Sus scrofa: one gene and its partners. The protein of the gene in region 3 binds, or shares a complex with, the protein of the main gene of each other region. Links are inferred from orthologs where the notes say so. Each region holds a gene or a part of one and is shown on either strand. Other genes may lie near its edges.

Region 1 (5,670 bases), on a different chromosome or scaffold from region 3:
GCACATTTTAATATTACAACATCTTTTAACTACAATCCAATATGCTTTCCCAAGCATAAAATATAAACTCTGCTCTAGAGTTTGACTTTAGAAACTGGCCATCTTTTAAAATCACAACCTGTAGAGCACAATGAATTTGGAAACAGATTTTTTTCTTAGAAATGAATTGCTTTAGTTTTAAATGGTCTTGGTCTAACCCCTAGTGGATACTTAAGTATATTACAAAATTTTGGAACAAGATTCAATTTAAGGTGTTTTCTTAGTTTGCCCAAAGTGATACGGAGCTATGTCTTCTCATACTTTGGAGGCAACCTGCAAAATCCCTCTGGAGAACTAACTTTTCCCACTTTTCTTGGCCATGTACCAAAATGGTCAGATTGGTACATACTTATTTATATCTGATTTCTATCCCCTAAAATGTTGCATTGTTTTTTAGCTGCAGCAATTTACATTACCATTTTAGCCTCTAAGTCCATAACTTACTTAATTCAGCCTAAAAAGTCTGCCGGCTACACCAGCATTTATTCCTCCACTGGGTGAACTGATACCGAGGTAACACCAATTTTTTTTAGATAATACCTGCATTTATGAGAAATCTCCCAACTTTTGAAAAGGATAAAAAAAAAAAGATCAGGATAGGGGTTCCCACTGTGGCACAGAGGGATTGGGAACCTGGCACAGTGGGTTAAGCATCCGGCATTGCTAATACCCACGGCTCAAATCTGATACCTGGCCCAGGAAGTGTATGTGCTGTGCAATGGCTTAAAAAGAAAAAAAAAAAATGAGGATGGTTTTTTGTACCCTGTTCTACTCTCTGTTGCCTTAGCTGCCCATGACACTCACCCATGAAGCCTTAAAAAAAAAAAAAAACAAATCACTAAGCCACACTACAGGGGATCCTGATCCAGTCAGTGGGAAGGGGTGGGGGCCGGCCTTTATATTATGGAGTTAGAGGTCTTCACATGTGATTCTGGTACACACTTTAGAGTTGAGAACCACTGCTGCTGTCCCGTAGAAAGTAGTGTCGACTTGAAGCTGAAGATCAAATGATTTTTTAACACATCGGGACAGTTTTCCATTCAGAATCTGACAGCATTGACTTGGTATTTTCACCACCTATACCATTTAGGAACTTATGGAAGTATCTTTGGCCATCTCTTTAGGGAATCCACCACCAGGGAAAATAATACTCATCCCGAATGGAGCTTTACCACCGTGCGAAAGAAGCCTGATCCAAAGAAGCTACAGAACGGGGCAGTATGTATATCCAGATGTTCACCTCCTCTTGTTAGGACTAGATAGTGCGATTATGATGGCCAAACATTGTTAGAATCGAATACCCCTGAATGCCTGTCCGTTAGTTTTGAGCTAATTAAGAAATGATCAGAGAAGTCTTTTAAGTGGCCATTGGTATGTTTTAAAATGCATTTTCCCTAGAGATAGCTAAACCCGGTGGAAACAGGTCTATCAGTTGGAATCCTAGAAGTTAGAGGCCTCTGGATGATATAGATGGGAGTTATTGATGGGAAGAAAGCATGAAGACTTGCCTTACATTGGGTCTTTGGGGGGAGGGATGCAAATTAACACACATGAATGATTATTTTCATTTCATGTATATAATTTATAACATTTGTTCAAAGGAGCAAGATCTTGTGCAAACCCTGAGCTGTTTGTCTATGATAATCACACCTGCATTTGCTGAAGTAAGTACAGATTCATTAGCTTTGGAGATCTATTTGAAGAAGTATAGTAATTGTAAATGTTATAATTATTGATCTTTCTCAGCTTAAACAGCAGGATGAGAATAATGCTAGCAGGAATCAGGCAATTGAAGAACTAGAGAAAAGCATTGCCGTGGCCGAAGCTGCCTGTCCTGGCATCACAGATAAAATGGTGAAGAAATTAATTGAAAAATTTCAAAAGTAAGCTTGAAATGTCATTTTTTAAAATCGATTTTGGAGCGTTACCACTGTAGCTCAGCGGGTTAAGAACCCGACAGTGTCACTGAGGATGCAGATTTGATCCCTAGCCTCGCTCAGTGGGCTAAGGATCCAGCGTTGCCACAAGCTGTGGCATAGGTCACAGATAATGGCTTGGATCTGACATGGTTGCTGTGGCCGTGGCATAGGCCGGCAGCTGCAGCTCCAGTTCTGCCCCTAGCCTGGGAACTTCCACATGCCACGGGTACAGCCCCCAATAAAAGCAAAAGGAAACAAAAGAACAAAACAACTATTTTGACATGTTACTGCTGGATGTTCATTTATGGTGTCATAATTACCTACTTGATTCAGTCATTTCGATTATTCCTAACCAAGTCCATTCTTAATAGTCACATACTTGAAACCTGTTCTGTTTGTGGCCCATCTTCAACACTAGCTTTTGGATTCTTCTCTTCGGGCAGTACAAGGTAGTTTGCCACTGAATGAAATGGCCTGTGGTTTTTTTTGGTTTTGTTTTGTTTTGTTTTCCTTTCCCTGTTCGTAGGCAGGCGTATAGACAAAAGGTCACAGGGCATGATCTTATTTGGACCCTTGTAAATACCATTTAGAAATGCTTTCATTCTTGCCACTCTTCTTATCGCACTGCTATTCACATAGTTTCAGTGCCAAAGTTCATCAAGTTTAACCCCCATAAGAAAAGTTAAGGAAAGAATTTTAGGTATAGAAACTCAGTGAAGACTCTGAAAGGTTCTCATGTCTATATTTCAGTGTCTATAGTGCCTCTTAAAGTGTTGGTTTAATTTTGTTCACATTCAGTGAAGTTCTTCCATTTAATTTTTTAATTCTCTTTTTAAACAAGACTTTTGTATGCATGTACAAACACACGCAATTCCTTAGCTCAAGCAAGTTATAGAGCAGTACTAATCTCAGCCTTAATCTCGTTATATCACTTCTTTGTATTTGTGATGCCACTGGGATCAAGTTGGAACAGACCAGACAGCCTGTAAACCACATACTCTCCTAGATCTTTCTTGCTGATAAAGTCTGTTTGTACTCATCAGCTAAAGCCCCTCTTAAAATCCTTTCGTTTTTAATGGAAAACCTGCCCTCTCTTCGCCAGCTTGCAAACGAATCAGTTGCAAGTTGTAAAATCGGACGCAGAAGGGATTTTGGAACTCCTTTCTATTTTAATGTCTACATGATGAGAGGCAATAGAAAAAAAAATTGTTTGCTGCATCAACTCGATTGCAGAGTTCATATGAATGAAAAATGTGCACATGCATAGTTATATATCAATTTAAGTTTTTCTTAATTTTATAGGTGTTCAGCAGATGAATCCCCCTAAGAAATGTCTTGTTATTGGCTTCTCTTTCATATGGACCCAGAGAAACCCACCAAAGCTACTTCAAGCTTAACAATGCTTAACTCATGAGCTCCATGTGCCTTTTGGATCTTTGCGACATTGAAGATTTGAAAGAAGCTATTCAACTATTTTGTGATGGTGTTTATCATTTTATATTTTAAAGAGATTATTTTGTAAGAAATAACTTTTAATACTATAGTTTCAGCTGTATTCTAGAAAAGGTTGAGATACAGTTTTGCTTTTAGGTATCATTATTACTTAAGTTACTAGGATGAATACCTTTCATGTTTTGATCTTTAGTTAACTGTACACTCATGAAACATACAGGTATTTCACAGTCATCCTAAATATTCAACTTTCGTAAGTCATCAAGCTTCAAAAAGCTTTTTTTTTTTAACACAAGCATATTCTAAAAATGACTCTTGGAAGGGAGGTGGAGACAAGTCAGACATTCTTAAAACAGAAGTTTTTTTGATAAGCTTTTAGAAATGACATCTGGAAAGGTATTGACTCTTCTACCAAGTTGATGGTATTCCAGGCAGCTCAGTGACAATCACATTGGAGAGCCCGGTGTTGGAAGCATTTATAGGCAACATGTAGCAACAGAGGTACCTCTTGGTGTGCAGTATTTACCTTCTCTTTTAGAAGAGGCAATTGACCCTTCTTTAAGTTAACACGTTGGAAAGTTAAAGCAATACCAATTAGCCGAGGATGGGTTTTTTAGTAATACTGGAAGAACTAGTCAGGATTCATTTTTAAAATCACCTCAAATCACATATCATATGCTTGGATTTGGGGAGCTCAAAAGAAGCTGATCATAATGTGATCATAAATACCTGATCAACAGGTATGACTATAATTTACACCAGCATATTTTTGGCATGGTAGTAAAATGTCTTATAAACTATTTATACATTTTTTTTTTGTTCTTCAAACTATCCAGTACATGTAAGCATCATTTGTTCATTTTTGAAAGGGTATTTAAGCATTTTTTGATTCACATGAAAATAATCATAGTACAGGATGATTTCTGCCCGCACAAAGGTAAGTTAGACTGTACAGTTAAATTTTCAGTTATATTTATGGTACTGTTACGTGGGTAATACCTTTTTCCTTTAAGCCCAGTATATATATTATGCTTGCCTAAGTTCTGAAGTGGGGCTATATTTCAGTAGTTGTAGAATTATTGATATTGATTAGTTTTAATAGTTAATGTTTTATTGTTTGGATCTGCACAATTTGGTTTTTGCACAAAAGTCATTTTAATACATCTGAATAATTGCCAAATATTAGAAGAAAGGTGTTCTTGAAGTAAAGAGTATAGTTTTTACAGTGGCCATTACCTCCTCCTTTTTTTGTAATAATGCAGACACTTGAATAAGTAGTTCATTGCGCGTCATATGCCCAGCAGATTTTTGCATTGGTGCCTATACTGTAACAATTACTTTTAACACGTATTTTGAAGTAATAGTTCAGTTAAAATTTTCAGCTGCTGTGTAACGCTATGTAATTGCAGTTTATAATTTGTAGAGGTCTGGTAATAGTTTTGCAAATCACATCGTGTACTAAATGAATATTTTTGTAAAAGTAAAAGCAACAAATTTTTAAATTGATAATTTGAAACTTTACAGCGCAACTGCATCATGGATAAAAAATTGTATTGCTTATTCATTAGAGCTATTAGTCCTGTAAACTGTTTCTGGGTGAAGCGTACTTCAGTGTTTTGGGGGGCTAAAAATAAATATTTAAATTTCATGGTCCTCGGCATTTTTCTTGAGGTGGGGCATGGTATCACATTTTAATTTTTTCAAATTATTTCTCCTTGGCCCTTTAATTTATTGTTGGAACTTTAACACCAGTGTCTCCATTGGAAACTGGAAGATAGTCTTTTTTTTTTTTTGCTTTTTAGGTCCGCCCCCGCAGCATAGGGAGGTTCCCAGGCTAGGGGTTGAATTGGAGCTAAAGCTGAGTCTGCGACCTACACCACAGCTCACGGCAGTGCCAGATCCTTAACCCACTGAGCGAGGCCGAGGATGGAACCTGCCAACCTCATGGTTCCTAGTCGGATTCATTTCTGCTGCGCCATAATGGGAACTCCCTTCAAATTTTTATTAAGCATTGATTATGGCTCCAGTGAACATCTGTCCTGATTTCTGCCTGCTGTCCTGACAGAATCATTAGTAGAATCTTCTTTCAATCAAAAACGTCCTTGTAGGTTGAACAATACATTATATGGTCCCTCTAATTATAGTTTGATTAGGAAGTCTTACACAGATTTGACCCCTTTATTTCTCTAGGGAAAACAAATTTCACAAAGATTTCTAGAAGTTGAGATGAGAAATAACATATAATCTTAAAGGAATTTGA
Region 2 (5,700 bases), on a different chromosome or scaffold from region 3:
TCTTGCCTCCGTTCTGGCAGCTCACCCTTCCTCCTGGAACCTGTACCCTTCCTCGGGTCCTCCTGCCGCCGCCGCCGTGGGAATGGGTGCTCTGGCGCCCAGCTCCCTCCTCCCCAGGGGCGGACCTTGGAACACATTGAGTTTCTGCAGATTTTTCAAGTACTACACGTGTGAAGTGAAGCCAGGTCCAGGTCCAGGTTGCAGAGGGAAGGGAAGTGGCATTGCTCCTGAGTCCCGTTCTCTAGATGCTTCCTCCACTGCAATTGGGCACAGCGAGTTTAGGACCAGGCTTGCTGTCCATCATCCCCACCGACTGCCCGTGGGGAGGTCATGGCCAGGTCCCTGGGTGGTGGGAACAGGCAGGTGAGTCCTCTCCAGGTCATGACAGGTAGAAATCTGGTGCCACTGCGGTGACCTGGCCGGTACTTCCGCCTTTGTGTTTCCTGGTGGTGGAGCGGATGTGAGGTTCTGACCTCCTTGTCTGGAGTTGGGCTCTTTGCAGCGTGGTGACAGTAGCAGGTTGGTGGGCTGAGTGCACAGCTGGTGCCCCCATCCCATTCTGGACCTGCCTGGGCGTGGGGGCTCCTGTTTTCTTTGCAGCGCCTGTCGTCTTTGCTGGGGTGGTGTCGGCTGCAGAGAAATCCCGTCGAGCAGAGCTCCTCCAGGCGGCCTGCTCGTTTCGTTCCCATCACACGGTTGGCGTCCCTTCCTCCCCCGCCTGGAGCCAGTGTGGTCACAGCGCAGGCCGGGCAGGAGGGGGCCGGCAGCTCGGCACCGGCTACCCCCTTGATGCCCTCGTTCCTGCCTGCAGTGACCCTGGCCAAGCCTCTGGGTGTAACTGACCTGTCATTGGCCAGGACGTGAGGCTCTAGGAGAGTGTGTGGCAGACAGCAGGAAGGATCCAGATGAATCCAGAACTTGGGGTCCGTTCCTCCATTAGGTCAGTGCCACTGGGCAAACCGGGTATGGTCCATTTAGATGAGAAGAGCCTTAGACCACCTAACAGCCCATTGTAACATCTGGACCTTGTTTAGATCCTGATTCAGACAAACCAACCAGGGCAAGAGTTGTTTTGAACAGTTGGAAATTTAATTAGTACATGGTCTTGAGGGAGTGATACTAACTTCAGGTGTTGGAAGTTCCTGTGGTAGCTCACTGAGTCTGACTAGCATCCGTGAGGACACAGGTTCCATCCCTGGGTTAAGGGTCCGGCGTTGCCGTGAGCTGTGGTGTAGGTTGCAGACGAGGCTCGGATCCCGCGTTGCTGTGGCTGTGGTGTAGGCCGGCGGCTACAGCTCCAATTGGACCCCTAGCCTGGGAGCCTCCATATGCCACGGGTGAGGCCCTTAAAACACGTGTGCATGTTCGCTCCGCATCCCGGGCGCTGTGGGACGTCCCGCACAGCCGCCGGTTCACAGAGGAGCGAGCTGGCGCCCGGGAGCGGCGCTCGTGTCACAGGACTGGCTGTAGAGCTGGCCTTAACCCCAGAGAGCCGGGTGCCTGCTCCCGCTTCTGAGCCATGCCGGGTTCTGGGTATGGCTTGATGGGGTGGCCTGCAGGTGTGCCTCTGGCCCCCAACACGCCCTCTCTGCCCACCTCTGGTTACCTGTGCCCTTGACTTGGGAACTTGAGTGAGCGCGGAATGCCGCCCACCTCCGTCAGCCCAGGAAGGAGGAGGCGTCAGTCACGGTCAAGGCCGTCTTCCTTGTGGACGGCGATTGCTGTGTTGTGAAATTTTCTCCTGTGTGTCGCCTATTTCGAAGTTATACCAAGGGCTCATGCTTACAGTTTTCAGTTAAAAACAAGTGTCTTCGTCGAGAAGCACGTTGAGGTTTTCTCCCCTGGGGACGCTGTCCTGCTCCGTGTCGCTAACAGCACCCTGTCGTTGCAGGCGGACATCTGGTCGCTGGGCATAACGGCCATCGAGCTGGCCAAGGGGGAGCCGCCGCACTCGGAGCTGCACCCCATGAAGGTTTTGTTCCTCATCCCGAAGAACAACCCCCCGACGCTGGAGGGCACCTACAGCAAGCCCCTCAAGGAGTTTGTGGAGGCCTGTCTCAACAAGGAGCCCAGCTTCGTGAGTGTCCCCCGGCCAGGGCGGCTGCCTCCCGGGGCGCCTGCGGCGTCCAGATGCGTCGCGCTGACCTTGCTCCAGTCGCGGTCAGCAGCTCTCTCCCTCGTCTCACCGCTGTTTCTTTTTCGAAACGGCGATGATTGGTTTCTTTGAATGGCAAATCCATTTTTATTACTTTCTCTCTTAAGAATTAGAGGGCGACGTAGTGTCTTTCGGATGTTCTAGCGCCTCCTTCCTCACGGAGCCCGAAGCCTGCTCCCCTCGCTGCCTGCTCCCCTCGCTGCGCGTGTGGACGCCCGCGTTTTGAACCCTTGGCCTGCAAGGCCGGGCTATTGTTAGCTCTTTCAGCAACTGCAAAGTCTGGCCTCAAAAGTAATGGCTACGTATGTCTTTCAAGCGAGTGTTTTGAGTTTCTTCTTGGCCCGCATGAGGAGGGAGAAGAGGGGGCCCAGAAACGAGCCTACCGTGCCTCTCGCCCCGTCCTGCCTCCGGCGTTGCTCTCGCCTCCGGCGGGGCCGTGTGGCCGTGACGACTGCGTGCCTTCAGCCCGCTGTTCTCTCTGCGTTAGGATGTTTCTTTGAAAGTTATTTGTGCATTTTAGGGTCACATGTAACACCGCATGTTCTTGTTTTGTTTCTGAACTTGCCAGCAGGGTCACTGCAGGTTGGGCTGAAATTTCTCACCTCCCTTCTCCCCTCCCCCATCCAAAAAGCGGTGGTTGGTTTCACCAGAGCACCATGGCTTGCGAGTGGGATGGCAGTTTTGGTCACAGGATTAAGTGGGGATACAGCCGTGTCTCGGAACCTCCGGGGGAGGCAGAATCCACCTCTCAGTCAGGCCGCGTGGGGACTGTTCTTTGTGTTTGTGAGGCTGTGGACCTTGTCCCAGCCTCAGAGGAGTCTGTCTTCTCATCACCAATCCATCCCTGGCGTCGGCTTGCCTGCCCGGGACCCACGTCGCCACCCCCACCTTGGTCCCAGAGGCACTGAGAGGCTGGACATGGGGGTACGTGGGAGAGTCTTGGAGTGTCACACTCACTCGGTCAGGGAATGAGAAATGCCCAAAGGGGCCGGGTTTGTTCCAGCTTGAGCTGGAGGCGCATGCCTGGCCCTTTGTAACTCAGAGCAGGTGGGGCCGCGGTCTAACCTGGGTGGTGTGTGTGTCCCTGCTGTCTGCCTGGTTTTCTGGGGCCACATACACCCTGAGGTGGGTTTGCCATCCTCAGGACAAGGCAGTCGGCTGAGCATCTGTGTGGCTGTGGCCGTGCTGAGCCCAGGGCCTGGGACTCCTCGCCCCAATCACACGGCGAGAGGCACCTGGGGGCGCCGGCGTTTAAATTAGGAGAGCTGAGGACCTGGCCACTCTCTCAGCATCCAGGAAAAGGGCATCTCCTGGCTCCTTTCTTCTGGATGAAGTGAAATGAGCATTTATCTTACTATTTTGGGGGGTGGAGTCAGAGACTCAAGTCCAAAGTTGACAGGGTGACAGGGAACACGTTTCCCTCTTGCCAGCATTGGTGTTGATGATTGAACGAGCTCTGAAACGCTCTGTGACGTTTTCTGCGGAAGCGCCCTCTTCCCCCGAAAGAGGCATTTGCCTGGAACACGTTCTCTTGCTGTCGCTGGAAGGTTACCTCCCGGCTGAGCCACCAGAGGCCTCACTCAACCAATGCCGGCACCGGATCCTGCCCGCAGGTGCCAGGCCACGTTCTTGCAGTCTTAGAATTCAAGGACAAAACGCAGATGTAGGTCTGTCTTTGCACAGAAGCATGGTCGTCGGCAACTTTTTAGGGTAGAATCGAGTTGAATGTAGAGAACGTGATCTCATGATGTTCTTGTTTCGCCCGGTGGTGGGTTTTCCAGAGACCTACCGCTAAGGAGCTACTGAAGCACAAGTTCATTATCCGCAACGCAAAGAAGACATCCTACTTGACCGAGCTCATCGACAGGTACAAGAGGTGGAAGGCCGAGCAGAGCCACGAAGACTCCAGCTCCGAAGACTCCGACACGTGAGTCTGCTCAGCTTGAGCCCAGGGTGTCACCGTGTCCCCGAGCCAGGCCACACCTGCCCCGGCCTCTCGGGCCTCCTGTCTGGTTTGGGGTGGGTTCGGGTTTCTTTCTCTTCCTTCTGTCTTTTTAGAAGACGGTCCTGGCTGATGGTGCGTCTCGTGTCAGGATGGGGCTGTATTTGGGTGTTTTTGAGCCTTTTTTTGTGGCCAGTGGGGTTTCTCTGAGTAAAGTCTGTGATAGAGCTGTGTGTAATGAACTCGACTTGGTTTCTTATTCCTTTATCCCTCCAGCTCTTAAAATACTGATCAGATGGAATTGCTTTATGTTTTAAAAAGACAGAGATGAGTGTTTGTGTGATTCTGGGTTGTGCGTGGTGTATGCCTGACAGTGTAAAGGCCCTGTACCAGGAATGGCTCTACACTGGCCTCCTCCGCTAGGAAATTCCTGATCTGAAAGGCGCCTTAGGTCAGCCTGCAGGGAGGGGGTGCTGGGCCGGCTGCTCTGACGTGAGAAAAGAGGCAGCATGAGAGCGGCGTCAAGAGGGGCTCATCCTTGGCACCTTGTCTGTGCCCCTTCACCCCTCGGCCAGAAGTGCAGGTGGACGCATGGCCCAGGTCCACGTTCCAGGCCCATGGGGTGAGACCTAGAGTGTTGTTCAGGGTCGCAGGCAATTCCATCGTGAAGTCAGCAGTGAGAGCCACTGGCTGGGCCGCTGTCGTTGAGGTCAGGACATTGAGTGCTGGGGTAGTGGCGAGGGGGACGGATGGGGACGAGGCGTCCAGGCCTTACCGTGGCTCTCGGTAAAGGAGCTGGAGGCCATCCCGGCTTCCGTCGCGGGTGCCCTGACGTGATAACACTGGAGAAGATGCTGGTCCGGGGGAGCCAGGGTACCGGAAGCTGAGTGGGGACACATTTGGACATCCAAGAGGATGTGTTCAGTTTCGGGCAGCAGCAAGGTCTGGCGTTGAGGCCAGCTGCCCCAGCACGTGGCCCGCCTTAGGGTCGCGGCTCTGTGGGTGGTCTCTGGACGCCCGAGAGCACGTCTGCCGGGTGAGAAGGGCCAGGGGCCTGGGACCAGCTCCGGGGGAAACACCAGCATGAGAGGTGGCCGTGGGACTGGACGGGCGGATCTGGGTGCAGTGCCAGCCCAGGAGTCTGGAGACTCTGGAGGGGGTGAGCAGGGGGTCCTCGCTGCTGAGCGTTCAAGCTGGACGAGGACTGACCAGTGGTTCCTTGCCTGGTGGAGGCCTTGGCTGTGGCGGTTGTGGGGGTGGGGTGGTTTTGGAGTGAGTGGCAGGTGAGAAACGGAGGCGAGGCCTGCAGGCCCTGTGGCTGCGGGCAGGCAGGTGCGCTGGGTGCGAGTGGATGTGCTGCTGGGAAGGAGCCCAAGGGGAGGGGTTCAAGTCCGGGAAGGGCAGCCGGAGCAGAGGGGGCGGTTCTGGAGAAGGGGCGGGAGGCCTGGTGCGGGAGGGGACAGCAGCCGCACTTGGAGGTGGCCTGTCCTCTGTGAAGCAGGAGGCCCGGGAGGGGCTGGTGGGGCTGGAGGGGCGTGGAGAGGCTGGAAGCAGGTTTGCAGTGCGGGGTGGAGACAGGCACGCCCGGTGGCTGGGTGGCCTT
Region 3 (5,700 bases):
TTTTAGCACACTTTCATTACTTTTTAGCTATTTCCCCTATTCTTTCTCTCTGCCTTTCTGTAGCCCTGGGCAACAACTAATCTATTTTTTTTCTATACATTTGCCTATTCTGGACATTTCATACAAATGGCCTTTTGTGACTGGCTTCTTTCACTTAGCCTAACGTGGAGCATGTATCAGTACTTCATTGCTTCTTATTGCCAAATAGCATTCCAGTACCTGGATATACTACATTTTATTCATCCAATCATTATTTGATGGACAATGGTGGCTAATTACCCTGAACATCATTTGTCTTACAATGTGGTTTCTCTACTAAATTCCCAGCTTCCACAGATATTTCTCTTCATCTCTGCAACACTCCCACTTCCCAACCTCCCTCCCTCCCTCATGAACAATTTTCTCTCAATGTCACTGGAAAAACGCAGCACTGAAATAGGAACCCATCCTCTATCTTCCTCTAGCCAACCTATAAAGCTACTAGTGTCTAAAGCCATCTTCTGTACATTTCCTCATACAAGTAAGGAATTATCCTCCTTCCTATTACAGGCTAATTCCACCAGGTATTCTGGATTCCCCTTAAAACACTAACTTGCTTTCATGTTTACAGTTTTTCTACTATACAGATTCTCTTCCTCCTTGGAATAATTACCACAGCAAGCAAATATGCTCCAAACAATTACACCAACCTCCCACCAAATAGTAGAAAAATATATTGAATAAACATGCTTTCTAACCTCCCATTTATTCTTGAAATCACTCCGATACCATCACACAGCAAAACAACCCTTGCTAAAATAACCAATAAACTCTATTCTATCAAATTTAATAAAAACTTGCTTCCCTTCCTCCCTCCCTCCTAGCACATTGCTTTTCATCCATAGTGTATGCCTTGAAAGGTTACTTAGAAGTCCCTTCACCCCTTAGCCCCAACCCAATCTATATTGTCTGGCCAAAGCCTGGGTGACCTATTTGTTATTTACAAAAAGGAACCTATCACATTAGACTTTTCTTATTTATTGAAAATGACTACTGCAGACTGCTTTCTTCTTTTCAAAATGGCTTCTTCTTCTGGTATGCTTTCATGATTCCACACTTACCTGTACTTCCTCCTACCTCACAGGCCACTCCTTCTCAGTTTTCTTCATTGCCTCTCTTGCTCTAACTACTCCTGGCCCCCAATGTCAGAGTTCCTCAGGATTTTGTCTTCTCTTTCTACTCTACATGACATATTCTCCCTACATAATACCATCCATTCTCACATCTTGATACTGATATACTTACTTAAGATTACCATCTCTTAACATGCCAAAAAACTGAACTCACCATCCTTTATCTTCTCACACCTGTCTGTCCCCATTTCAATATGCTACCATCATATACTCAATTGCTCATGCCAAAAATGCAGGAGTGGTGACGAAAGTTCTGAAATAAACAGTGGTAATGGTTGCCCATCCCTGTGAATATGGTAAAAACTACTGAAATGTATACTTCAAAAGTGTGAATTTTATCATGTGAATTGTACCTAAATAAAGCTGTTAAAGAATAAGTCACTCATCCATCATTTCATCCACTTAATCCAATTTATCATATATTCTGTCTATTCCCCCCACCTCTCCAGCATGTCTTTTTTTTTTTTCTTTCATAATTGAGAATTTTATTGTTGTTTTGAGGCTTAGTACATGGACATTTCAATCCAGCATGCCTTAAATCCATTTCTCTCCAAGTGCTCTGCTACCACTGCTCTACGACCACTCTAATCTTGACAACATTATCTCTCACCTAATCTACTGGAATCACTGTTACAACTTTACATTAAATGACATTGATATTTTTTTCTCCACTCTTCCCACCCCCAATCTATTTTCCTTGCAACAGCAAGAGTTATCTTTTTAAATTCTACATTTATAGGACACTTCCTAGCTTAAAACTCTTTACTAAACGTTTAACTTTTATTCTCTAGATTTCAGCTTGAATGCCATTATTTTATTCTACATCTAAATAGGGTTCTGCCTGTTACTCTCCTCTCTTGGTAGGTATCAGTTATCTTCATACCATACTTCATACCATAATGTGTAACTATCCATCCCCTTGCTTATGTGTTTAAGGCTTATCTTTTTCTATTAGACTAAGTTTTCTTTCTTTCTTTGGTCTTTTGTCTTTTTTTTAGGGCCGCACCCATGGCATATGGAGGTTCCCAGGTTAGGGGTCGAATCGGAGCTACAGCTGCTGGCCTACACCACAGCCACAGCAATGCCAGATCCTTAACCCACTGAGTGAGGGCCAGGGAATCAAACCTGCAACCTCATGGTTCCTAGTTGGATTTGTTTCTGCTGCACCACAACAGGAACTCTTTTATTTTTTTTTAGGGCTGCAGCAGCAGCAGCAGCATTTGAAAGTTCCTGGGCTAGGGGTCTCACTGGAGCTGCAGCCTTATGCCACAGCAACACTGGATTTGAGCTGCATCTGCCAACTTACGCCACACCTTGAGGCAATGCTGGATCCTTAACCTGCTAAGCGAGGCCAGGGATGGAACCCGCATCCTCATGGATACTAGTCAGGTTCTTAACCTGCTAATAAGCTGCCAGGGGAACGCCAAGTCTTATTTCTTGATGTATGCTTAACACTACACCTGGCAAATTTAGGCCTCAAGTGTGTGTTAAATAAAAAGATCAAAGAGCTCGTGAATTCTTTTTAAATGAGCCAGTGATTAAGTAGACCACGATTTACTTAACCATTCTCGCACTAATAAACATCTGTTCCATTTTAATTTTTTTGATTATAAACAATTGCCCTTGTATATATTTTAATGTGTGTGCAAATATTTCTGTTAGTCAGATTCCTTTTTTTTTTTTTTTTTTTTTGTCTCTTTGCCTTTTCTTGAGCCGCTCCTGCGTGGCATATGGAGGTTCCCAGGCTAGGGGTCCAATCGGAGCTGTAGCCGCCAGCCTACGCCAGAGCCACAGCAACGCGGGATCCGAGCCGCATCTGTGACCTATACCACAGCTCACAGCAACGCGGGATCCTTAACCCACTGAGCAAGGCCAGTGATTGAACCCGCAACCTCAGGGTTCCTAGTCGGATTCGTTAACCACTGCACCACGACGGGAACTCCATCTGTTAGATTCTCAAAGTGGCATTTGTGAGTTAAAGCTATTGTTGCTTTGTCTTTTTAGGGCTGCGCCCGTGGCATATGGAAGTTCCTAGGCTAGGGGCTCAATTGGAGCTGCAGCTGCTGGCCTACACCATAGCCACAGCAACACGAGATCTGAGCAGAGTTTGTGACTTACACAGCTCACAGCAATGCCAGATCCTTAACCCACTGAATGAGGCCAGGGATAGAATCTGCATCCTCATGGTTACTCCTCAGCTTCGTTTCAGCTGAGCCAGAACGGGAATTCCAAAAGTTTTGTTTTCTTAACTAAGGAATTTTTTGGTCCTCTAAAATGTTCACTGATTTACACACTCTCATGTCTCTATTTGTTTTTATCATCTCTCACTAAATATTTATGAACTACATAAACTAAGTTTTAAAAACTGTTTCTTGTACTAAATGTTATTCTCCTTACCCATAATGGAAAAGATTCTGAAAAAGAATGTGTGTGAATATGTGTGTGTGTGTATGTGTGTATAAAAAACAGAATCGCAAAAAAAAAAAAAAAACAGAATCGCTGTGTTGTATGCCTGAAAACTAGCACAATATTATAAATCAACTATACTTCTTGCAAGATAAATATTCATGGCATTGTATTTCTTAATTTTTCTCTTTCATAAAGCAAATTGCTAGTAAATCAAAGTACTATTACTAGTAAATGAAAAGACCAATGTATCTTTAAACGATCTTATAATAGTTGAGGTAATTATTTTTGTCTGCTCCATCCACTTAAAAAAATATCTTGAGCCTTTTACTTACCATATGTATCATATGGATCCACATTAGGACTAGGCATATTCCACCACTGGATAGTTGCATCAATACCACCACTAAAACACTGTTCACCATTAGAACTAATAGCTAATGATAGAACAGGACCACTATTACAGAAAAAGAGGAAAACAATTACTTACAAAGACTAAGAAGAAACTCATATCTGCATCCCCCCAACCTTTCTCTAAATTTATGTGGTACCTAAAACAGTTTAGATAAACACATACATTTGAACAATACTGATTATATTCTTACTACACAATTATTAATCGAATGAAATATTAGTCAATTAATCTATCTTTTCTTTTTTCTTTTTTCCTAGGGCCACACCCAAGCATATGGAGGTTCCCAGGCTAGGGGTCTAATCGGAGCTGTAGCTGCTGGCCTACACCATAGCCACAGCAACGCGGGATCTGAGCCGCGTCTGCGGCCTATATCACAGCTAATGGCAATGCCGGATCCTTAACCCACTGAGCGAGGCCAGGGATGGAACCCACAACCTCATGGTTCCTAGTCAGATTCGTTAACCACTAAGCCACGATGGGAACTCCCTCTAATTTAAAACAAACATGAGAAAATTGCAAGGCTTCAAGATCGACAAATAATAGTTAACAAGAACTATGATTGTTAATTAAGTACTAATTCAAAAAACTTACATGTGGGCCCTAAATGTGTAGATAGGCTCTACATCTAAAGAGGCACTCCTAAAAGAGGGGAAAAAAGGGGGGGGGACAAATAATCGTAAATCAGTGGTTGATATTCAAGAGTCACTAGGTAAGATCAAACGAGTGCATAAAAGACACAGGACCATAAGAAGAATATTGCTTATAATTAGCAAATTTGGAAGGAAAAAACCACAGGTTAACATTAAAATACTTGCTTTTTGGCAGGAACTGTTTTTTGCAAGTTCCAAAGTTTCAGAGTATGGTCCTCAGAGGCAGTAACCAGCACAGGTTCTACAGGATGAAAAGCTAATGCTCGTACTCCATCGAAATGGCTACGTAGTGTATACTTGGGGTTCCATGTCTTTCGAAAGGCATCTTTATTGGCAGGCAACTAAAAAGAAAGAGCACAATATTTAGTGGTAAAAGTAGTTAACTGATAGGCATGTGGAGTTTTTGTTTGTTAGGGTGTGTTTAAAATACATATTCAAAACTGCTTTGTTAAAATTAAAATGTCCAGTGGAAATTTAATGTACCTTAAAAACTACAACAAATCTTTTGTCATTTAATAAGAACTAAAAAGAATCATTTCATTAGCTTGCAAATACCTAGTCAAATGAAGAGCTCCTTACCTAATTAATCATCAGGCTAAACCCAAAGTCCTATTAAATGTCAAATGAGAACAACAAAAAAACTATCATGCTGTAATACTTTACATGAAAACAAAAAAAATTACATAAATTACTACCCAAAACCCAAGGGGACAATATTAATTACTGTACAATACAGCTGTCATTTAGAAAATTAACATGTGACATTTTTCAAGGCAGCACGTGAGGTTACTTTACAAAAGTCTGAACTAAAGACACTTTGTTGATACTGATATGAAGTTTATCTTTTTACCTTCATTTCTCCATCTGTAAAGATAGGCTGTGAAACCACTTCTAAAGTAGTCAAAAGTTTATTAGAATTTAGTTGTTTAATGCTTTAAAAACATTAATGAGAATAAACCAGCCCACCCAGGCTGATGTTTTTAAAAAGCATGCTAATGTAAGTAAAAAATTCAGAAAAAAGAAATTTGTTATAAAAGGAAAAAAATTAATTTGCTGA
Region 4 (6,404 bases), on a different chromosome or scaffold from region 3:
TGTGGCTGACTTTCCACGAAGCTGTCCGCGTGACCAGGACCTCGGAGCTTTCTGGGACAGAGGACTTTCCGTGCTGGAACCTGGGAACTCCGGGAAACCGGGTGGTCGGTCGCCCCGTCTTTGTCAGCACTTGGTGCTGTCGGTGCAGCCATTCCAACGCGGGTAGTCAGTCTCTCACTGCGGCTCGGTGCACACTTCTCTGGTGGCTCACGAGGTGGCACAGCTGCTCTCGTGCTGTGTGCCATCGGTACATCCTCTGTGAAGTGTCTAAGTCTATCCTCAACTTTTCTCTTTGGGTGGTTTTTTAACGGGTGAGTTTTGAGAACTCTTTATATATTCTCTGTACAAACAGTTGGATAATGTGATGTGCAGTTTTTTTTCTTCCAGTTGATAGCTTGTCTTTTCTCTTTTTCTTTTTTTCCAGTACCCTATGGCACATGGAGCTCCCCGGCCAGGGACCAGACCAGAGCTGCAGTCACGACCTCAGCTGCAGCCGTGGCAACCACAGCTTGTCTTTTTTTTTCTCTCTCTCTCATTTTATTTATTTTGTTGTCTTTTGTCTTTTTTTTTTTTTTTAGGGCTGTACCTGCAGCATGTGGAGGTTCCCAGGCTAGGAGTCTATTTGGAGCTGCAGCCGCTGGCCTACACCACAGCCACAGCCACGTGGGACCTGAGCCATACCAGCGACCTACATCACAGTTCACGGCAATGCCAGATCCTCAACCCACTGAGAGAGGCCAGGGATCAAACCTGCAGCCTCATGGTTCCTAGTCGGATTCGTTTCCACTGTGCTATGATGGGAACTTCTCTAGCTTCAAAAAAAAAAAAAAAAAAAATTATTAGAGCTCCCGTCATGGTTCAGTGGAAACAATCTGACTAGGAACCATGAGGTCATGGGTTCGATCCCTGGCCTCGCTCAGTGGGTTAAGAATCTGGGTTTACCCTGAGCTGTGGTGTAGGCTGCAGAGGAGGCTCGGATCTGGCGTTGCTATGGCTGTGGTGTAGGTTGGCAGCTATAGCTCGTATTAGACCTCTAGCCTGGGAATCTCCCTATGCTGTGGGTGCGGCCCTAAAAAGCAAGAAAAAGATTTTTTTATTTATATTTGGCCTTGCCTGTGGCATATGGACATTCCCAGGCCAAGGCTCGAACCCACACCACAGCTGTAACCAGAACCACAGCAGTGATGACACCGGCTCCTTAACGCCCGAGGAGGGAACTGTCCTTTCATTCTCTTAACAATGCCTTTCTGAAATCGAAATTTAAAACATTCGATGAAATCAAATTTATCATTGCTTTACAGCTGCATCCTTGTAAATGTTTTGGTAAAATGTAAATCACACAGAGCACACACGGAGACTATTTTAAGTGTACAGGTCACTGACGTCAAGCACGTTCACAGCGTTGTGGGGCCATCGCAGAGCTTGGTCTCCACTCCCGATGGAAACCCTGTACCCTGTGGTGTATCCCTTCTCTCTTCCTCCAGCCCCAGGAAATCTCAAGCACCTCTGCCTCCTGAACTGATCCAGTCTTGAGAGGTCATCGAAGCCGCATCACACGGTATTTGTCTCTTTGCGACTGGCTTATTTCCCTTGGCATAACGTTTTCATCCACGTTGTGGCATATAACAAAAAACAATGCCTTTTTAATTTTACGTATTTTGAATTGTGATAGCTTACACCTTAAAGCATTCAGTTGGGCAGTGCTGTACAATTATCTCCAGAATTCTTTTCACCTTCCCAAACTGAAGCTCTGTCCCCATTAAACACTCACTTCCCAGCGCCCGCCCCTGCCCCTGGCACCCGCCTGTCGCCTTTCTGTCTTCAGGACTCCAGGCACCTCACACAGGTGGGTCCAAGCACTGCTTGTCCTTTTGGGACTAGCTTATTTCGTTTAGCCACCGTCTTGGCGGTTGGTCCCTGCAATGGCCCGAGTCAGCACTGCCCTCCTACCCCCGGGCACGTCTGGACCGCATCTGGGGACCCATTCGTTCCTCCCCGACACGCGGGCGGCTGCAAGAGGCCTGAAAGATAGAATTGGAGTCTTGAGCCCAGGCCCTCGGAAGGGGAGCCGGAGGACGGAAGGCGGGGCGGGGGGGGGGGGCGACCGCAGAGCTGAAAGGTGGGGGCGCCCCAACCCCACGGCCGCCGGGCGGGCCCCGCCTGGCCCCGCCCCAGCCCCACAGGCCCCGCCCAGCACCGCGGCCTGGCGGGAGACGTAGGCCCAAGCTTCTCAGGAAGCCGGACTCGGAGTCCCAGCGGGCACCGCGGCACGCTTGCGGGCCGCTACACCACTCCGCCCCATGGCCTGCCGGGACTTGTAGTCCAGGGTCTGCGTGCGCCCCGACCCAGGGCGAACGAGGGACTCGGTGTCCCAGAGAGCTCCGCGCCGGGCCACGACACCGTGCCGCCCGGGCCGTCGCTGACGCCGCCGCCGGGCTTTCTCCGGCCGCCGCCGCCACTGCCGCTGCTTCGCGGGCTGGAGGGCCCAGGCGTCCCTGGGCGAGCGGAGGCTGCGGGTGGGAGCCTTCGTGGGCACTGCGGAGCGGGCCGGGGGAGGCCGGGATGGAGCCCCCGGAGGTGGGCGCGCTGCCGGGCTGGCCCGCGCCTGGGGCGGTTGGGGAGGGGGCTGGGCGGTGCGGGGAGTGAGGCAGGGGGAGGGCCCCGAGGGGGCCGGCGAGGAGGGCACTGGAGGCGGAGCTCGGCGGTAGGGGGACCCGGGGGGGGGCGCCGGGGGGGGGCGAGGGCACCGGGGGCGGGGTTGGGGCGGGGGTCCCGGCGGGGGTCCTGGCCGGGGTAAGGGGTCTAAAGAAGGAGCAAGGCTGCGGGTGGAAGTGTGAGGGCCGCCGAGGGATGCCCCGTGTTGGGGAGCTCCTCAGGGAGGCGTCGGGCCGTAGCGGGGCGATGAGGAGAGCGCGGCGGTGGGGGCCTTTAGCGGAGGGGCCCTGTGACTCCAGCCCGCCCCCGGGGCGGGCCGGCCCGCCGGTCCCCAGGGCGGCAGGGAGCCCCGCGTGCCTCGAACCGAGCAGGCCTGCTCTCCCTCCAGTTGCCTGAAGCGAGTGGGCCGGGCTCCGGAGCCTCCAGGCAGGATCTCGGGGCCTCCCGAGGTTGCAGCGGATGGTGGAGGGCGGCGCAGACATGGCTCACCTCAGGGGCTTTGCCAACCAGGTAAGGGTTGGCATCCGGGGAGAGGGGTGTGTGTGTTTACCGGAGCACCGACTGCAGAGGCTAAGCAAGGGCGCTTCCTCCAGGACTGTCATCCTGAGGTTTCAGAGGAGCGGTCCCTCCGAGGGCGAGCGTGGGGTGAAGGGAGGCGCGGGGGAGTCCTGCGGAGCGCGTCGTGGGCGAAGCGGGGAGCAGTCTCGAGGCGCTCAGACTTGGTGAGCGCAGGGGCGACTCAGCTTGGCCAGCTTGCCCAGTTGTGTGGGGCAGAAGCCCACAAGCTTGGCAAAATAGAGCCCCAGTGCAGGGGCAGCAGAGGCTGTGCAGAGCCCTGTGGTGGGAACAGGGCAGGGGCCGCTGGCTCTGGTGGGAATCCTGCCGAGCATGAATCTGCACCTGGAGAGACCTGCAAGGTCAGGGTCCACGCTGGGGCCGCAGCCTGGGCGGGGACACAGGCCGTGTTGTGCTGGGCAGGGGCTGTGCTGACGCAGCTCTCGAGTCTGTGCGCGGGGAGAGCAGAGCACAGGAGAGGATGAGAGGGCTGCTCCCGGGCCACAGGTGCTCCTTGGGAAGACACCCACTGCCTTTCTCTTTGGGGGACTGGGTCTTGGGATTGCCAACAGCAAAAGCCATCTGGGGGTGTCTGGCCTTGAGCGGTAACTGGCTGATTCCGGGGGACCCTCCAAAGCGCACCCTGGGTTGTGTGGCACATGGTTTGTACTTTCCTCTTGTCTGTTATTGGGAAGCAGGTGTGATCTGCAGCTGGTAGGACGTGGAGTGTGCCGCTCTGGCTCTGGTAGCCAGGTTTTCCTGTGGCCACTGCTTGGCTTTGTTTTCCTCGGCCGCCTGCTGAAAGGTGTAAGGCAGCGTCCTCGGGTGTAAGGCTGAGTCCCCAGGCTGAGTCCGCGAGGCCTGGGCGCCAGGGGAGCAGGAAGTGTGTATCCACGGGGCGGGGGAGGGGCTGGGGTCAGGATCGGCTCCACACCCAACAGGCTTCCTCGCAGAAACCTGCCACGTGCTGCCGCCGGGCAGGGCATCCTGGACTAGCCGTGCCACAGGTGGGCACTGGCACTTCTGCTGATGCTGAAGCCCGCTGGCAGGTCTTTCATTCATCTTTGACATCTCGTGTCTTGTAAATTACATGACGGAGAAGCTGGGAGAAAAACCTGGCTTCAGCTATTTTTAAGAGCTGTAGAAATGGGTCCCGCGGGTCCTGGAATAGGAAGTTGGAGCTGAGCCACCCTGTCCCTGTGTGCTGGTGGCACTAGGGGCTTGGCTTGGGTGTCCAGACCAGATGCCCAGGGAAGGGAGCACAGCCCAGAGGAGCTGAGGAAGGGACCCTGAAGGAAGGAAGCCCCTTTTGTCCTCTGGGGCGGAGAGACTTGGCCTTTGTCAGTGGCAGGAAGCCTGACAGGACATTGTTTTCTCTTGCGAGGGTTGTCACTGTGGCCCTGCGAGGCGGTCCCTGTGTGGGGCAGTGCGGTGAGCTCCCCCACGGCCCGCAGGGGGCCCTCCACTCCTGGCCTCTGCCCGGCTGGTTCCTTGTTCCTACCCTGCCCGCAGGGTCTGGCTGGCTGCAGGAAGCTCATTGGCTGCCACCCATCGTGGGGTGGTTGGGGGCCGTTGGGCACCCCTCATTTTGTGGGGCGATATGACCAGCAGACATACTGCCTGGTAGTGGCCACTGACCTCGCATGCCCAGGGCTGACCAGAGGACAAGGGTCTGGACTGCCAGCAGCCTGAGCCCTTGTCTGAACCACGCCCGTCTCTGGAAGGGGAGTGCAAGGCCAGCTCGGGAGCAGTTGTCCTTCCTTCCTTCCACCAGCTCTGGCCGCAGGTGTCCCTGTGATGTGCCTGTAGGGTCAGGGTCACAGCCAGGAGCGCTCCCGTCATGCTGTCTGCTCAGGAGACTGACCCACAGCAGTGGGGACCCAAAAAGTGTGACGTTGGGACCAGAGCTCCCCCCACTGCTGAGTCTGGAGCCCCTGGTCCAGGGGTCTGCCCAGTTCCCTCAGGAGCCGTGGAGGTCTGGGCACCCAGCTGGGTGTGCCTCTCGTCAAGCCGTTGGGGTGGAGAGTGCAGGCTGCAGTGAGAAGAGGGAGGCCTGAGGGTGGGAGGGGAACCCGGAAAGCCCGAGGAACAGTGCTGCCCGGCCTCGGTCCCACCTCCTCCAGGTCCCCTCTGAGGCCCCCTTGGAAGTAGAGGCACCGTTTCTAGGAGCCCTGGCTGGATGAGCTGGGGGTGGAGGCCCTGCAGGCCAGCACTTAGCTGGGTGCTCAGGGGCCTAGTGAAGGGGACGTGGGGGCACTGGGCCAGGTGGCATTTGGGCCCAGTGCCCAGGGGTTTGGGGGGGTGCAAGCGGGCGGGGGCTGTTTCCTGGTCTCTGTGGGAGGCCGTCTTCATGCTGGTGAGTCTTCATGCTGGTGACAGGCTCGCAGAGTCCTTGAGGCTGGCCACTCAGGGCGGGGCTCTGATCTCGAGGTCCCCACCCCAAAGACAGCTGAGCAGCTGGGACTTTCAGAATATGCGTAGCAGGGGGAGAAAGTGTCCTCACGGGTGGCCTGAGGAACCCAGGTGGCAGCCACCTGGCCCTGTGCTGCACTGGCTGCAGCTTCCGCGGGGGAGGTGCGAGTGGGCACCTTGGCTCTGGCCACCTCATGGAGGCCGGCCCACCATGCCGGGGCCTGGCCCTCGGCCCTCCCTGCTCGCCTGGCCCCGCTGGCTCCCCCTACGAGGCCCTCTTTGGGCTCACGTGGCCCCTCTGTTTCCAGACCTGGGGAGGCAGCTGTTGGCACGTGGGATGTGTGCCGCCTCTGTCCGGAGCCCGCCTGGGGCTGAGCCCAAGGGCTGGCCGTGCCGAGGTCAGTGCGCTGCCCAGGGCTGGGCCCCCTTGGCTCCAGAGCGGTCGGTGCTTCCACAGCAAAGCCAGTTGTGATTTGGCCTTTTTGCTTCTGGCCACTTCAGGTGGTCGCCAAGACACGTCCGGTGACACTGCTGAGGCGTGGGGGCAGCCTCTCTGGAGGGAGGTGTGTCCTGTTGGGTGTGAGGCCTGCAGGGCTTAGAGAGCCCTTTCTGCCCCCATCGGGACTGGACGCCAGGCTCCCCGCCCACCCTTCACAGGCCCTGCCTGGGGCTCCAACCCCATGCAGGTCCCTGGGCTCCAGCCCCTGGGCCACTGCTGGGCCTCTGAGAACATGGCCAGTAGCCTGGCGGAGGGGGTGAGGTGCCCTCAGGGGGCCACTTGG

The links.
Region 1: STRN3 (region 3) and STK26 share a complex: the UniProt entries of both Homo sapiens proteins name them as parts of the core of STRIPAK complex. The link is inferred for Sus scrofa from reciprocal best matches to the Homo sapiens genes STRN3 and STK26.
Region 2: STRN3 (region 3) and STK24 share a complex: the UniProt entries of both Homo sapiens proteins name them as parts of the core of STRIPAK complex. The link is inferred for Sus scrofa from reciprocal best matches to the Homo sapiens genes STRN3 and STK24.
Region 4: STRN3 (region 3) and STK25 share a complex: the UniProt entries of both Homo sapiens proteins name them as parts of the core of STRIPAK complex. The link is inferred for Sus scrofa from reciprocal best matches to the Homo sapiens genes STRN3 and STK25.

The regions. Positions count from the first base shown.
Region 1 is NC_010461.5:108,233,985-108,239,654, forward strand, and holds the end of STK26 (serine/threonine-protein kinase 26), read left to right. Parts: intron 1-1,163; coding exon 1,164-1,257; intron 1,258-1,640; coding exon 1,641-1,703; intron 1,704-1,785; coding exon 1,786-1,922; intron 1,923-3,260; coding exon 3,261-3,285; 3' UTR 3,286-3,685; downstream 3,686-5,670. UniProt on the Homo sapiens protein: Serine/threonine-protein kinase that acts as a mediator of cell growth. Modulates apoptosis. In association with STK24 negatively regulates Golgi reorientation in polarized cell migration upon RHO activation.
Region 2 is NC_010453.5:67,467,288-67,472,987, reverse strand, and holds part of STK24 (serine/threonine-protein kinase 24), read left to right. Parts: intron 1-1,891; coding exon 1,892-2,077; intron 2,078-3,936; coding exon 3,937-4,082; intron 4,083-5,700. UniProt on the Homo sapiens protein: Serine/threonine-protein kinase that acts on both serine and threonine residues and promotes apoptosis in response to stress stimuli and caspase activation.
Region 3 is NC_010449.5:68,557,164-68,562,863, reverse strand, and holds part of STRN3 (striatin-3), read right to left. Parts: intron 4,985-5,700; coding exon 4,809-4,984; intron 4,633-4,808; coding exon 4,585-4,632; intron 4,036-4,584; coding exon 3,914-4,035; intron 1-3,913. UniProt on the Homo sapiens protein: Calmodulin-binding scaffolding protein which is the center of the striatin-interacting phosphatase and kinase (STRIPAK) complexes.
Region 4 is NC_010457.5:140,150,336-140,156,739, reverse strand, and holds the start of STK25 (serine/threonine-protein kinase 25), read left to right. Parts: upstream 1-2,429; 5' UTR 2,430-2,516; exon of another isoform or gene 2,517-2,577; intron 2,578-3,043; 5' UTR 3,044-3,114; coding exon of another isoform or gene 3,115-3,165; 5' UTR 3,166-6,404. UniProt on the Homo sapiens protein: Oxidant stress-activated serine/threonine kinase that may play a role in the response to environmental stress.